2 linked regions of the Rhinolophus ferrumequinum genome follow. The protein of the gene in region 2 purifies or fractionates together with the protein of the main gene of each other region. This does not show direct contact. Links are inferred from orthologs where the notes say so. Each region holds a gene or a part of one and is shown on either strand. Other genes may lie near its edges.

Evidence for each region. Proteins that work in one complex are often made in the same cells at the same time.
Region 1: the proteins of CD81 (region 2) and PTGFRN purify together in Homo sapiens (co-immunoprecipitation; 7 studies listed by BioGRID and IntAct, with this or other methods). This does not show direct contact. The link is inferred for Rhinolophus ferrumequinum from reciprocal best matches to the Homo sapiens genes CD81 and PTGFRN.

What each region holds. Positions count from the first base shown.
Region 1 is NC_046305.1:47,024,771-47,032,252, reverse strand, and holds the start of PTGFRN (prostaglandin F2 receptor negative regulator), read right to left. Parts: upstream 3,136-7,482; 5' UTR 2,797-3,135; coding exon 2,748-2,796; intron 1-2,747. UniProt on the Homo sapiens protein: Inhibits the binding of prostaglandin F2-alpha (PGF2-alpha) to its specific FP receptor, by decreasing the receptor number rather than the affinity constant. Functional coupling with the prostaglandin F2-alpha receptor seems to occur.
Region 2 is NC_046294.1:1,566,028-1,573,737, reverse strand, and holds the start of CD81 (CD81 antigen), read right to left. Parts: upstream 3,188-7,710; 5' UTR 2,993-3,187; coding exon 2,927-2,992; intron 1-2,926. UniProt on the Homo sapiens protein: Structural component of specialized membrane microdomains known as tetraspanin-enriched microdomains (TERMs), which act as platforms for receptor clustering and signaling.

The sequences.
Region 1 (7,482 bases), on a different chromosome or scaffold from region 2:
CACCCACCCCCACCACTCAGTGAGGCATTGGTCTGGGACACCCGTATGGATTCTTACGGGTATTTGAGAAATGCTATACTGAACGCATAAACAAGATAGGTCAGACAGAGGCAGACATATGAAGTTGATGAGATGGTGATCGGTAGACTTAGCAAAGCTTCATGCAGGCAGTGAGTTTTAGGGGGAAAGGAAATAGGAGGCAAGAGGAACCCAGGCAAGAGGAGGAACCCAGGCAAGAGGAGAGAAGCAGGAGGGACATTCCGAGGCTAAAGGACCTGGAAGAGCCAGAAGGCTCACAAATGTTCTACGTAAAGGAGAGCAAACAGGTTACTTAGAATGAAGTGTCTGAATCAAGACAGAAGAGCAGAGGGGAGAGAACACAAGGGGAAGCCTATCTTTCTTAAAAAAAAAAAAAAAAAGTCCTAAAAAAAAAAAAAAAAGAAAAGAAAAAGAAAACCAGCACACAAAGGCAGGACCCCCAAAGCTGATCCTTTAGGAAAATGATGACCTTAGAAGGGAGGCTGGTGGAAAGAGTCAACCAGGAAGATGTCAGAAGTGAACCGTGTGGGGAAGTATCACATCTTGGGCTAGAATAGTAGCTGTAGAAACAGGAAGGACGGGAAAACCGTGGAGTTTGCGCTATGGGAAAAGCCACAGGACTGAGGGACAGAGTGAACATGGAAGTCAAAGAAAGTGACGGCAAGACTATGCCCCGGTTGCAATACGAGAGGAAAGACGATCTTGCTTATCAACATATTACGTTTCAGGAATCAGGACAGTACTAGAGTGGTACAATAGGGAGGCCTCCCCGAAGGTCAGACTGAAGCCATTCGGAGTGAGGTTCTGTGGGGCAGAGTTATCAGGTTCAAGTTCAGGGACCTGCTAGGGGATAAGACATTGGCTGGGGACACCACAGACATTACCCGTGTGTAGTTAACATGAGATGTCCAGCCAGGGCGGGATACACTGGTACATAATGAAGATCTCCCCAAGCTGCGCTTCCTCCACTTGTTTTTGCGTTGCCACTTCTATTTTCTCCCTTTGCCCTTTCTTCTCTCCCTTTTTCTCCCTTATCATAGCTATTCAAGGGCATTTTTTTTTCCAAACGTCTACCTTTACTGATACACAGGTTGTGACCTGCACAACTCTAGGGGGAGTCATTCTCACAGAGACTATGAAGTGAACAGCAGTTCCCAGTTGTGCAGTGCACAGTCTGTGCAACCATTAGCCATGGCCCTGTTTGACCCAAACACATGAGCCCATTAACTATTATGGACTATCACCAGCAGTACGAAACAAACGATCTTACAAGGGTCCCAGAGTGAAAAGAAAAGAATAAAAGCCCTAGGATCCGAGATCACAGAAGAGAGGCTTCAAAACTAAGTGAAAGATCTGGAAGCTTTCTGCAAATGGTCGCAGCTAAAACAATGTGGCTGGATAAGCTCTCTTGGGGAGTGAGTTCCAGAAAACCCCTCGGAGGCGAAGAGAACACAGTAGCAGCAGAAAGCCTGGCCCACCAGCAGCAAGAGGCATGGGGGTTGGGACAGTGGGTGCCCTGGAGCCATCAGGATGGGAGCGGCTGTGGAGGTCCTCCACTGGGACCCTCAGACCGTAAGTGCAGAGTAGTCATTTACCCCGTGTGCAGCTGGGGCCTGGCTGGGACAGACACCCCACGCCATGCACTCTGCAAAAGATTCTGATCTGCCTTCTCCAAAGGCTTGGAAGGAAACCGGTGGTCAGGTAACAGCATTCTTTCTCTTCTGACACAGACCAAAAGGATTCAAGAATATCAAAGCACATAAGGGTCAGCCCTGGGGCACCACGGTGGGCACTTAATAAACAGATGTATTTCTGTGGCTGATTCCCACATAGTTATGTTAATATACCAAGACAACGATATGTATCTGCTTTGAAGATGGTGTCTGTATGCATGGAGTAAAAGGAAAACGAAGAGAAAAAAACCCACCAAAGATTCCTTGGGTTGGGGGAGGGCATTGGGCCAATTTATCAAGAGGCACCGAGGTTTGCGAAGGGTGGAAGACAGGGGACAGGAAAGGCAGAAAAAGTAACAGGTAGGAAAAGTTGGAGAAGCCAAGCCTCGTAGGTCTTTGTGTGTAAATATGGAGCTAGGCAGTTTCCAGAAGAAATAAAGGAAAAGACTCAGGCAGAAGCTCTAACCACAGCCAACATGACAGAAGGACTCGCACACTGATTTCTATTGTAGCGCTCTGGGCCACCTCGTGACCTTCGTAGAAGGAAGTTGGTGGATTGTCTGGCTTCCCAAGAAAGGCAACTCATCCTGGGTTTGTGTGTGAGGAGCGAGTCGGCGGGGCTCGACTACCACCAGGTAGATCAAAGGCGCATATTTCCGCTCCCAAGCTGGGGACACTGATCGGGGACCGCAGGCACCTTCCGGGCCTGCGATCAAGGTGAGCCCGGCTCCGGGCGGCCAACAGGTAGGGAGGGCTGGGGGCAGCGGGTCACGAGCCACTCCCCCCGCACGTGTGGGGGGCGAGGCTCGGCCTGGCGACGCCGGGACAGGTACCCCGCGCGCTGCCGGGCCGGATTCGCTCCCGGAGGCCCCGCGGTCATTCCCCGCCGGGCCGCGCCGCCCGCGTCCCCCGGCCGGGTCTCCCGGGAGTGGCCCCGGCACCCTCGGCGCCCCAGGCCGCGCGCTGCAGCCGCGCCCCGCCGAACCCCCAGGGCCCCACGGTCCCCGCGCCCCGCCAAGCCCCGCGCGCACTCACCCAGCGACAACAGCGCCAGCAGCAGCGGCCTGGGCGCCAGGCGCCCCATGCTCGCCGGGCGGGAGTGACTCTCCGCCTCCTCCTCCTTCCCCGCCGCCTCTCCTCCTCCTCCTCCTCCAGCTCCGGCTGCTCCAGAGTCGGCTCCTCCGCCTGGGCCGCGCGCCTGCTCCGCTCTCGTCGCCAGCCGAGCAATCCCAGCGCTGGGCGGACGTGCGCCCCGCGCTCCCGCCGGTCCGCCTACCTCCTCCCCGCCCTCCTCCGGCCGGCCGGGCCCCGGGAGCCGGGCGCCAGAGCCGCCCCGCTGCGCCGAGCCAGCAGCCCCGGCCGCTTCCCGAAAGCAAAAGGGAAGAACCGCAGCGCCCGCCCGCCCGCGCCTCCCATCGGGCGCTTTGCCAGCAACAAACACAAACTTTCCCAAGCCCCTCCCCGCTCCAGGTAACGGAGCGAGCGCCGGGACCGCCCGCTTAAAGGGGAGGAGGCGGCGGAGCCCACCCAGCTCTCCCCTCGGGCTCCCGCCCCACGACAAACTTTCCTCCGACCTTTAAAAGTTGGCCTTGGAAAGACTCGTCTGGAAATCCCATCGCTTTAGCTCCTTTCTGGGACACCCAGCGTTCCACCGCTCTGGAATCACCCACGCTTGTCTCCTGTTCCCTCGGCTAACTGCCCGCACGTTCACCCCCAGGTCCCAAGCTAAGCACCCCACCAACCAGGCAGCGTGGCCCTTGCGAAAAATTATTCAGATAGGACTGAAAGACATGGAAGCACGTTAAAGGCCATGGATAACATCCTCCTTGTGGTACAGCGGCCTTAAGTGTTTAGGTGACTTGTCCAAGGATTCACAGCGAAGTGGCAAAACCAGGACCCCAATCTCACAGCTCTGCTCACTGCCCTGCGGCTGGGTGGGCCTCACCGTCCCTCGCCCACCTTCTTCCCTCTCCGTGGTGCCTATGGGCTACGAGAACACTTCTCACACACGCCCATGAAAGACAAAACAAAAAAGAAAACACTCAAGTGTATTAATAGCTACAGTACTTTACATGGAATGTCCTTTAAGTGGTCGCAACTGGTGGCCAATAGATCCTTTTTTCCCCCCACAATAGGGTTTTGTGCTTTTGATTTGAATACAAAAGGCCCAGTCTTGGGGGCGGAAATTTTTAGTGTTCATTGTGTAGAACTTCACAAGGATAATTTAAACATACTGGGAGCAGCACTGGGCCCCCTGCCCCCCCACACACACCACAGTCTCACACTAATAGATGCAAAACAAATCACAGATGTTAGTGGGGAAACTGCCTAAGTTGGGGAGAGAAACACACTTTTACGCGGAGGCATTATTCTTTCCACTGACAAGTGTTTGTTATTCCGCTAACAAATGTGTGATCACCCGGCTATGAGCCCTTCTGAAAGAGACTCCAAATTTCATCCTTGATGGCATAACCATGTCAATGTACTTACCGTCACTTAAAAATGGGCAAAAGGGTAAATTCTATGTGATCTATAACACAATTTATAAAAATGTTTTTTAATTCGTTCTTGCCACCAAGCCTTTTGCCATGCTGTCCACCCATCCTGCAATTCCTTCCCGTCTCCTAGAATCCTCGAGCGTTTCTCTGGGAACTTTTTCAGTTTAATTCAATTAACTTGAAACGCAAGCCTCACATTAGGCTTTGGGAGATGCTGGAGCTACACAGAAGAGTAAGGCCTGGTCCCTGCAGAAGCTCAGATCTTTCCCTTTCTTAACTACCCACAGCACTTAACGTCTGAACCACACGTTTTGGCACTTAATCACATACATGTGAGCACATGCTATGGACTGAAGGTTTATACTTCCCCAGATTCGCATACTGTAGCCCTAATCCCCAATGGTATTTGGAGATGGGACTTTGGGAGGTAAGTAGGTCCTGAGATTGGAGCCCTCCTGAATGGGATTAGTGCCCTTACGAAAAGAGAGGAGAGAGATGATCCCTGTGCCAGGTAAGGATACAGCAAGAAGGTATGTGTCTGCAAACCAGGAAGAGAGCCTTCACCTGGAAATGCATCAGCCATCACCTTGATCTTGGATTTCCCAGCCTCCAGAACTGTGAGGAATAAACATTTGTCGTTTAAGCCCCCCAGCCTGTGGCATTTGTTAAGCAGCCCAAATTGATTAGGACAGCACAGCATTCATCCTGCTCCCGTCTCGCTATAATAGTGGAAGTGCCAGAGAGACTGTCACATTCTCATTTTGTCTTTCCCATGGTACTGCACAGTCGATGTTTGCGAAAAATCTTTCATTTAACAGACACGTGCAAGTCAGGAGTGTTCCTGGCACATGGTAGGTCTTCCACAAATGTGTATAGCGCAAATGTGATGTCAGGCACTGGGCTAGACTCTGGGAAGCCAGAGATGAATAAGATAGTTCTTGCCCTTGAGGTGGTTACAGTCTGTGCATCATGACTATAGTAGGTGTGGCAGCCTGGGTAAGGTGCAGTTGTGACACAAGGGAGTGGTCAGTCCTGAGGAAGGTTGTCAAAAGAGCTTCTCAGAGGGGATGACTGTGAAGTGAGTCTTGAAGGATTAGTAGGTCTTTAGCTATGAGGCGTAGGGATGAGCGGACACTAGATGGTGCATATTTAATGTGTTCAGGATTCTTATTTCCTCCCCACCCCACCCCCAGGTGTTATTAAATGAATGGTGCATCTTACACTCATGGAAATAACAGTGGTTAGTAATTGAAATAGAAATATAAAATGAAACTGTTCAGGGCAGGGTGAGTAACACGAGGACTGAAATGGATAGCCGTTGGTCGCGGGCAGTCACCTGTGTCATGAGACTCAGCCCACGACAGCTGTTTTTGTAGCAGAAAAGGAGCATAAAAGAATAACTCCAGACAGTTGGTCATAACCACCATACCCTCTGGGTAGCCCTGATGACCAAAGGATAAAATACATTTCTCACGAAAGAAACAGCACCCACAGCAGACCAGCACAATTGGTTATAATTCACGACTCCGGAATCTGATGATGCTTGTGTTACGAAAGACATCTTTATGCCAGAGTAAGGCTTTTGCCGCAGTCAACTGTTCTTAGTTTGGTTGTCTATGGGTTTGCCTGGGACAGGAAGGCTCACTCTCCAGCAACTCTGACCCACACTCATCCCCAAGGAGGTGAGTCCCACCACAGGTTTCCGTGGCCAGGTCACAATGACCCTCAGAGGGCTCTGGTCACAACAGCCAGATTACACGTGTCCGCCTCTACACATTGCCCCTGAAAATCTCCTAAGGGTCCCCACCCTCATACTGCTAGCTGCTTTTCCTGCTAAGATCAATACATTCACCTTATTATTTAAAGTGGAGAATGGCAATGTGAAAGGTCCCAAGGAATGAATTGGCTGATGGTCGCAAGATTCACCCAGCCTTGGTGTGCGCGCTTTGCCACCTCCACCAGATGACCCAGTCTCCAGATGACCCTGACGCGATGTCGTTCATCAGAGTGGCAGGCGATGGAGTATTACCACACGTGGCCTTTCGTTCCCCTACTCATTTTCATGAAAATAGTCCTCGTGTTGTTTCCAGGTGTCTATGTCCCCTAGTGAAATTACACTGGGGATTACTAATCAGAAAGAAATTTAAGATTTAATCACAGAATTAGAGAATGGAATTAAGAGTCAAAAAGGGAAGGGTGGGAGAGGAAGCCTTCACTTCCTGATGAGTGAGAGTCATTTAATACTCGTGAGGCCTTGGGGGAAGTTGTGGAATATCCATCTGACGGAGCTTCAAAAACAGCAAGGGGTCTCCTCTGTTTGGAATGAGTGAAGTTTGGGCTTTGCTCTGTGACCTCTGGCCTTAAAAGACTGAAATGGGAGCTCGTGGAGAAAGTGTTCTTAGATGACTAGAACTGCCCTAATGTCACTTCCACCCGGCCAGCTGTGTCCCCAGGCACCCACCCTGTAGCATTTACTCCTACAGGGATCCTGGGGTAGAAGAGTATGAGGAGAAAATAAGAAAATGGCATGAGACAAGGCTTTTGCAGTTAAAGCTCTCTACAAAAGGGAGGCGTTATTATTATGTTAACAGTGTACCTGGCCCTTGTCCTACAGGAGCTTATATTCTAGTTGAATGTATCAAAAGATCAGTAGTACTACAAAGAAATTCAAAGGATTGATGCCAGGAAAGAGAAAAAAATTCAAAGGGAGGTAAGTAGATAGGAGAGGCACAAACCATTGTGTGTAGTATTCTGCAAATATGCTACCCACTTGAGCTAAAAATAACCTCCCACAATGAATACAGACAGCCAAGTTGATTGTGAAAAAGAAGTTAGAAATAGCTACAGGGGACTTTGAGATGTTGGAAGAGATTCTTTACCTAAGACCAGGGCTGCCAATCTTGGTGCTACACAGAGGTACCCCACTTGTGCCTTGACACTGAGCTGGGGGAGGGGGCTTTATGCCCTCCATGAGCACACTGTACCCTACTTTTCACACAGAAGCATGGTGGTGGGGGATGAAGGAGTGGGCCATATCCTTTTTCCTTCCCCTTCCAGCCTTTCTCACCTACTTGAGCTCTGCTTCTGGGTTCAACTGACACATTATCTTAAGTTCTAGGTGCTCCATTTTAAAAACATATGCAAACTAAAATGTATCCAGAGTAGAGTTGCTAGCTAAAATATAAGACGCCCAGTTAAATTTGAATTTCAGATAAACAAGGAATACTTTTTTAGTAGTCCCAAATACTACATGGAAGGAACCTCTTTGTACT
Region 2 (7,710 bases):
ACTGGGCACAGGAAATCCCCTGCGCCCCCCACCTAGAGCCTGCCAGGGCCACATCCCTCCTCCCGGAAGGAAGGCGACAGAACCGCTAAGAGATAGACAGTCATGTGCTGTCTGGAAGTGAGAATTAAATGCCAGTTAGCAATGCTTCTAATCAGCCTCGTTCCCAGCCGGGTCTGGCCACCCTGCCTCTGGAAGGCAGCCACCAACTGCATTAGGCGGACGGGCAGCCAGTCCCAGGCAAGGAACGCTCTGCTCCTCTCCCCGCAAGGACCAGTGGCTCCCTGGCCAGCCCCCCAGAAGTGGGTTCTTATCATGCCCATTTCCCAGGTGAGGGCAGCAGGGCTCATGCAGGCCAGCCGCCTGCCCCAGGTCACCAAGTCCAGTGCGGTGAGCAGGGATCTGAGCCTGTGCCCTTCCTCATCTGCTCCAGTACCGTACCGGCCCCCTCTGCCAGGAAGCCCCCTGTCCCACCCCGATGGGCAGGGGTCCCATGCTGCCTGGCTCCGGCTCCCAACCTGATACCTGGCTGGCTGGGGAGCCCCAGGGTCTCAGCACCGGCAGGGCAGGAGAGCAAGTGTGCAGGGTGACCCAGCTCCTTCCTGGAGAAGCACGCCAGGCCACCTTCAGGCCTGCTCCCACGTGCTTGGGGCCTTTGCCTTTCTACTTACTCCCCAAGAAGGAATTTTACAAAGTTTCTGGGTCCACATACCCATTGTCACCCTCTTCTCCCGGCTCCCACCCTTGGCAGCCACTCCTGCACTGTGACTGGGGTGCCCAGCTAGCAAGTCAGGTTGGGCACTGGGAGCCCCACGTAGGGGCCTGAAACCCTTCCCCAAGGCACTGCCTCCACCGGGACCACGCTGAGCAGGCTTCCTGCTGGCCACCTGGCCCAACATCCATTTCCTGAGTTCAGCCCCTACCTGTGAGCCAATCGACCAGCAACGCCAGGAGATAGGATTCGGAGGACCCCACTTTAGAGGGGAAGAAGCTGGGGGCTAGGACCAGAGCAGTGGGAGGGAAACTTTGCCCAAGCCCAACCCCACTGCACCAGGCTCAGCCTGGTGATGGAGCGGGGTGCAGAGAGGGGCTCCTGCAGGGTGTGCCCCCAGCCCCACAAGGCTCAGCTCTGCATTCCCTCACCAGAGGGGGTGAACCGGCATGGGTGGGTGGGGCCACGGTGACTGGACCATGGAGACCTACGGTGCAGACACAGTTCTCAGTGCTCAGCTGGAAGTGGGAGGGAGGGGACAGGCCTCGGAAACATTTCCCTAAGTCTCAATAAAGAACAGCCCCAAGGGACGTGTGGAGCCTCCACCCCAGCTGCTTGGGAAACTACCAGACTGGCCCAGCTGCCAGCTCCAGGGGGCCTGATCTGCAGACCTCCCCAGCTGGGCAGGTGGGAGGGACTTACAGCCCAGACACCAGGCCCAAAGACAAAGAATCTACTCCTGGAGAAGTCCCCTTCCTGTGCCTACCCTCTACCGCCCTGCCAGGGTCCTCGCCCCCATATCCAGGCTCAGCAGAGGGGCATCTGGGTGCCCCATTGACCCCTATGTTTGCCTGGCCAAAGCCGGCAAACACTAAATCCAGGACGACACCACCCCTCAAAGGCCCTAGTGGCTGCCTGGGGCCAGGCTTGGCCCACCCCCAAGGCAGAGGCCAGTGGCCTCCAGGGGTCCCCTAGGTCGATGTGACACCGCACTCTACCCCCAGCTAGAGTTCAGTCCAGTCTCTGTCTTCTCGACCCCAAATCCCTTGCTGCCCGAGAACCGCTCTGGGTCCTGGCTGTCCAGATGGGAAGCATATGTTCCCACCCCACATACTCGGGGTGAGCAGCCAGGCGTGGCAGCAGCATGGAGGAGCCTGGGAGGGGTCCCAGTCACTGCCCAGGGAGGAGGGCACGGCCATCATGAGAGGGGCTCCTTCCACCGCCTCTCCGGTCCCAACACTGACAGGAAATGGAAACAAAAGCAAAACTCCATCAGTCACTGACCAGCAGTTTACACCCAAGTCAGGAAAATCCCAAAAGGACTATCCTGTGGGTGCTTCTTTCCACAGTGGAAGTCCCAGGCCAGCCCCTGGCCCCCAGAGCTCAGGGACACCCAGGTCTTCAGGCCCCTGCCCTGTGCCAACTGGAAGGGACTGCCCCATCCCCACTCTCCAGGCCTCCACCACCTTGGGGGCCAGGCCTGGCTGGAATCTCGGTCTGGGTGAGAAGGGCAGGGGGATCTGGCCCCACACACGGGGGCCACCACGGTGCAGGCACGCCAGCACACAGGCCACACCCGGCCCAGTGTGCTTCCTGTCTGCTCACCCCAGTCCAAGACCCCAAGAACGGTCCCAGGGTGACGACAGCTGACTGGGGGGTGAGCTGGGCTGGGCCAATAGTGGGGTGGCCAGTACCCAAGACTCGGACGGCGTGTGCACCCCCAACCTGGCCGCCCATGCAGGGGCGGTGGCCTGGATGAGCTCATGGGGGCGGGACGCCCTGAGACCCGCCCTCAAGCCCCCCCCCCCCAGTCCCCGCGAGGCAGGGTGGTCCCAGGAACAGCATCCAGGGGGCTGAGCAGCCCCAGTACGCGGCCCGGAGCCCGCATCTACCCCACCTATCACCATCACCAGGCGGGAACAGACCTGAGGCCCCCAAACGCCCCGGCCCGGCCGCGGGGACCCGGGCCCTGACGCCCACAGGCCCCCAAACCCGGCTCGCAGCCCCCCGCCCCGCCGTCAGGGGTCGCGACGCTCCCAGACGACCCCCACTGCCCTGGCCTGCCGGCCCAAGACCCCCAACCCCGCGCCCAGCGCGCACAGGTGGCCCCACAACTTGGCGGCCCGGCCGTGCCCCCTCGGCGGGGCCTAGCGGGGCGCGCGGCCCGCGGCTCTGCTCTGGGGCGCCCCCGCCCCGCCCCCCCCGGCCGGGGCTCACCCAGAAGACGAAATTGAAGACGAAGAGCAGGTACTTGATGCACTTGGTGCAGCCCTCCACCCCCATGGCGGCGCGGGCGGCGGGCGGCCTGTGTGGCGCGGGCCGGTCCTGGGCAGAGGGGCGCGGGGCCTGGGGACCTGGTGAGCGGCCGGGGGCTGAGACGGCGGCCGACGGGCGCGGAGGCAGCGGGCGCGCGGGGACGAGTGGCGCGGGAGGCCGGACTGGGATACGTGAGGCCGGAGCCGCCGCTGCGCGCTCGCTGTCGGTCCGGGCGCGCGCCCCGCTCCGCCACTTATATGGCGTCCAGACACCGCCCCCCCGTTTGCTCCGCCCCCGTCTGCTCCGTCCCCGGCCCCGCGGCCCCGGAGGCAACCCCTCCCCCTCGCACGCACACTTAGAGGACTTGGTGTCCCCAGGACCCCAGACCCAGACGCGTTGTGCTGGGCGCAGCGACAGGACCGCGGCGAGGATGCCCAGGGAAGAACCTCTCCCTTTCTCCCACAATTCTTCTTCAGGCACCTTGTACCTACCCAAGAAGGCTTCCTGGAAGAGGTGATGCGCCAGCAAAGGCTACGTAAGCCAAGATAGCAGCGCCCTTTATTCGCATCGCTCCCGGGAATGGGAACCTGGGTGGGCGATGAGGCCTGAGAGTAAGCGGACCTCGACCTGAAGATCCTGGAATGCAATTCTAGGCATCCAAACCCTTTTGTCCCGTGGTCCGGGGAGTCGCTGACCACTCTTAGAAGAATCTGTTTCGAAAGGTGTACCCTAGGCCACTGCTAACTGTCTAGGAAGCCCAAGCCACCTGTAGGAGAACCTCCAAATGTCTTGTACGTATTTCGTGCATGTGTCAGTGGTGCCAGGTCGCCCAGATGCTGCTGTCTTCCTGAAGTGAGGGTGGTCCCACTGCCCTCACTGCCCGGGGTAATGAGGAGGTAGACAGGTGACTCCTCAAGTGAGGGATGCTTTCTCCCCAGGTGACAGAGCAAGTCTGCAGCAAAGTGACAAGCAGATGAAGCCATGGAAATGCCCACTGCCACAAATGACTACTGCCCACTTGAAACGTGGCCAGTGCCCCCGCCGAGAACTGAGGTTTTCATTGTAGTAAATTTGGATGGCCGCGGGTAGGCAAAGGCGGCCACATTACAGAGGAGCCCTGTCGTATTCATCTGTGCTCAGCTGTCGTGTTCTTGGTGGTTAATTTTAAATTTTGTTTTGGCTTCACGCGTGTATGAGAGCTCCAAGCACACGTTTACACCTAGTGTTGTTTATGCACGTCCAAGTGACATAATAAAAGTAACTGAAGTCTTCTTCCTTTGAGGGTCTGCCAGGGTTGTTTTTGTTGAAAAGGAGGCAGGACAGTGTTGGTGTAAGGAAATGCCTGCCCTGATGTCCTGGGGGTCCTGCGCTCCCCACAGCTCCCCGCTGTCCAGTTACAGGTCAACTGCCAAAGAAGTGGGGTGAATCCTCAGAGAACGGCCTTCCCTGGGCCCCGTGGGGGGAGCAGGAGGACACTGAGCCCACCCTCAGGGAGCAGGGCAGAAGCATGCCCACTGCGCTGCGTCGCTGGCCAGCCCTCCCCAGAGCAGGTCACACCTGGCTAGCCTGGTCTGTGCTTTGCTTCAGTCATGTGGCAGATGTTTAGTGGTGCCTGTTACCTGCCAGCTGCAATTCCAGGCACTGACTGTGGGAGCTGACCAGCCAGGACCCCTTCCCTCAAGGACTGTTGGCCTGTGACAGATGCTGCCTCACGATGATCATGTCTCATGTTGACTGGGGAGGGAGGAAATTTCCAGGAGGCTTGAAAGAGTCATGGAGTGGGGGGTGGGGAGGGCAGGGGCGGGGCACTCCTCTCCTTGCGGGTTTGGAGGATCCACAATGAGTCCTGGCCCTAGAGAGTGGGAAAGAGCCAGCTCTGCCCTCCAGGCAGATGGGAGACTGGTAGGAGGAGCAGAAAGGATGCTAGTAGGGCGGGAGCAGAAGGAGGGAAAGAGGGCCACACCCAAGGAGGTCAGGGCCAAGGGTGAGGTGGCTGGCTCTCCGGCCTGAAGGCCAGTGTGAGGTCTCCTTCAATCCTGACTGTCGTGGGAGCCATTGGCGGGTTTCTGCAGGGGCACCACAGGCATGACTTCTGACCTGAATGGGGACATATGTGGGAGCAGACTGCCTTAGCCCCACAGTGGGACCTGCATTCACAGGGAAAATGGGCCTCGAGGGTCGGGACCACCTCCAGGGGCTGGTACCTGTGGGCTGTCCGCAGGGACCACTTCTGAAGTGCCAGGGGCCACCAACTGACCTTGTGAGGACTGAAGGGGACCAGTGCATTAACCGGGGTTTTCCAGAGAAACAGAATCAGTAGGAGGTGTGTGTGTGTGTGTGTGTGTGTGTGTGATGTACTATAGATTATAAAGGAGATTATTACAAACCAGCTCGTGTGATTATGGAGTCTGGGAGGTCCCAGGACCTGCCATCTGCAAGGAGACCCAAGACAGCGGGGCGTTTAGTTTCAGTCCAGATGTCAAGAGCAGGGAGCTGATGGTGTAAATCCCAGACCGAAGGCTGGAGATGAGAGGAGAGGTCCCAGCTCATGGGATGAGGCAGGAAAAAGGGGAGAGTCCCCCCTTCCTCTGCCTTTGGTTCTACTCAGGCCTCAGTGGGCTGGATAAGCCCTCCAATTGGGAGGGCCACTGCCTCACTGAGTCCACCTGTTCAAATGCTAATCTTACCTGGAGACACCCCCGGGTATTCCCAGAAATAATATTCCATCTGGGCACCCTGTGGCCAGTCACGTTAACAAACACACAACACTGAACATCACAGTAGCAATGACATGTGTGGCAGTGTGATCTGGGGCAGGTGGGCCTCAGGGACTGCGTCCTGGGAAAGATCCCCAGAGCCCCACTGTGGGCTGGATGGCCCACAGCCTGGAGCTTCCATCCAGGCTCTGAGACACACAGACCCAGAAGGGCTGCGTCAGAGAACGATGGAGAGAGGGGAGAGGCTTGCCTGCGCCAGGCCTGGCGTGGGAGACCCCTCCCTGTGCCTGCCCCGCCCACCAGCCCATGGGCGGGGCTGAGGTCCTGAGGACAGGCGGGGCAAAGAGTGGGCCTTGCTGCCCCGGTGTGTTCAGCTCCGAGTCTCTTTCCCTCCGTGTGACTTCTGGCTGGTTCCTCAGTTTCCCCATATGCAGTGGTGCCATGGAATGTGAGGCGGTGAGAGGAGCAGCATGCTGGAGGCCACTGCCTCCTTTAAGCTTGTTGGGCAGACAGACTTCACTGCCAAGCCCAACTCCAAGGACGGGTGACTCACTGCTCTTCTGGGACATGCTTTCTGTTCAGGGGGAATCACTGAACCCCGCCCTGTGCCTTGATTTCCTGTGGAAGTAAACCGAGACCACCCAGATGAATGGAACAGAGGCTGTTTATGCAGAGAATGCTGCAAAGGGGATTCAGCCACCCTCACTGCACTTGGCTGAGACTCAAAGGCAGGCCCTGAGGGGAACAGCTTCCTACTTACAAAAGGAAGACTTTACCATCCGAAAAACAATCCATGCACCGCACCACATTGATGGAGTCAAGGACAGGATCATCTCCACAGTTGCAGGAAAAGCATTTGACCAAACCCAGCACTCTATCCTGATGAAAACACTCGACACCTCAGGAATGGAAGGGTTCCTTGAACGTCTCATAAAGGGCACCTTCAAAAACGCCGCTGGCTGATAGCATTACCAAGTGCAAGACTGGAAGCATTTCCCCTAAGGGGAGGAACAAGACGAGGACAGCCACTCTCCGTCGCTGGAGGCTGTGGCCAGGGCACGTAGGCAAGATGAAGACAGAAAAAGGCATCTGTACTGGACAGGGAAGCAGAGGACGTGACATAGTGCATAGAAACCGCGAAGAAATACACCCAAAACCTACTGAAACTAATAGACACCTGCAGCAATTGGCAGGTGACAGGATCAAGGTACGAAAATCAATTTTATATCTATACACGAGCAATGGACAGTCCACACATGGAATAAAGAAGACAATCCCATTTGTAATAAATAGCAGCAAACAGAACAAAGTATCTGGGAATAAATTCAGCCAATTTATTATAAGACTTGGACACTGGGAACTACAAAACATTGTCAAAGGACCGAAGGCAGGTCTAAGTCAATGCAAAGGTTCCTGGGGTTCACAGATCAGAAGACTCAGTCTTGCCACAATACCAGTGCTCCCCAAATTGACCGACGGCTCCACACAACCCCTATGACAGTCCCCATTGGCTTTACCAGGCTCACCCTAAGTACTATACGATTACAAGGGCCCCGGGACACCCAAAACAGTCGTGAAAAAGGAGAATAAATTTGTTGGGTTCACACTTCCCGGTTCAAACTTCCTGCAAAGCTACGGTGATCAGAACCATGTGGAAACCAAATGCATAGAATCGAGAGCCCGGAAATCGATCCTCACCGTCCGGGACCCTCCATTCCGTGTCGTCCCCATCAGGCATCGGTCCATATAATGGAGCTACGCCTACGAGACAGTCTCTTCTCTGGCCCTGAGCCTCGTTCGAGGCGTGAATGCCGCCTCGGGCCCCCCTCATTACATGACATAACCGGCTCAGTCATCCCTTCCCCTCAGCTGCTACTCCTCCCCCCCTCCATCTACACCCAGACACTTCCACCTGCGGGATGACATCAAGTTTGAAAGCGCCTTTACCGTTCTAACTTGGGAACCAGCCTTCCTTCTGGCACTGGAACTTACAGCCCTTGCCTTGTGATCACTGCAAAGGGGGATGGG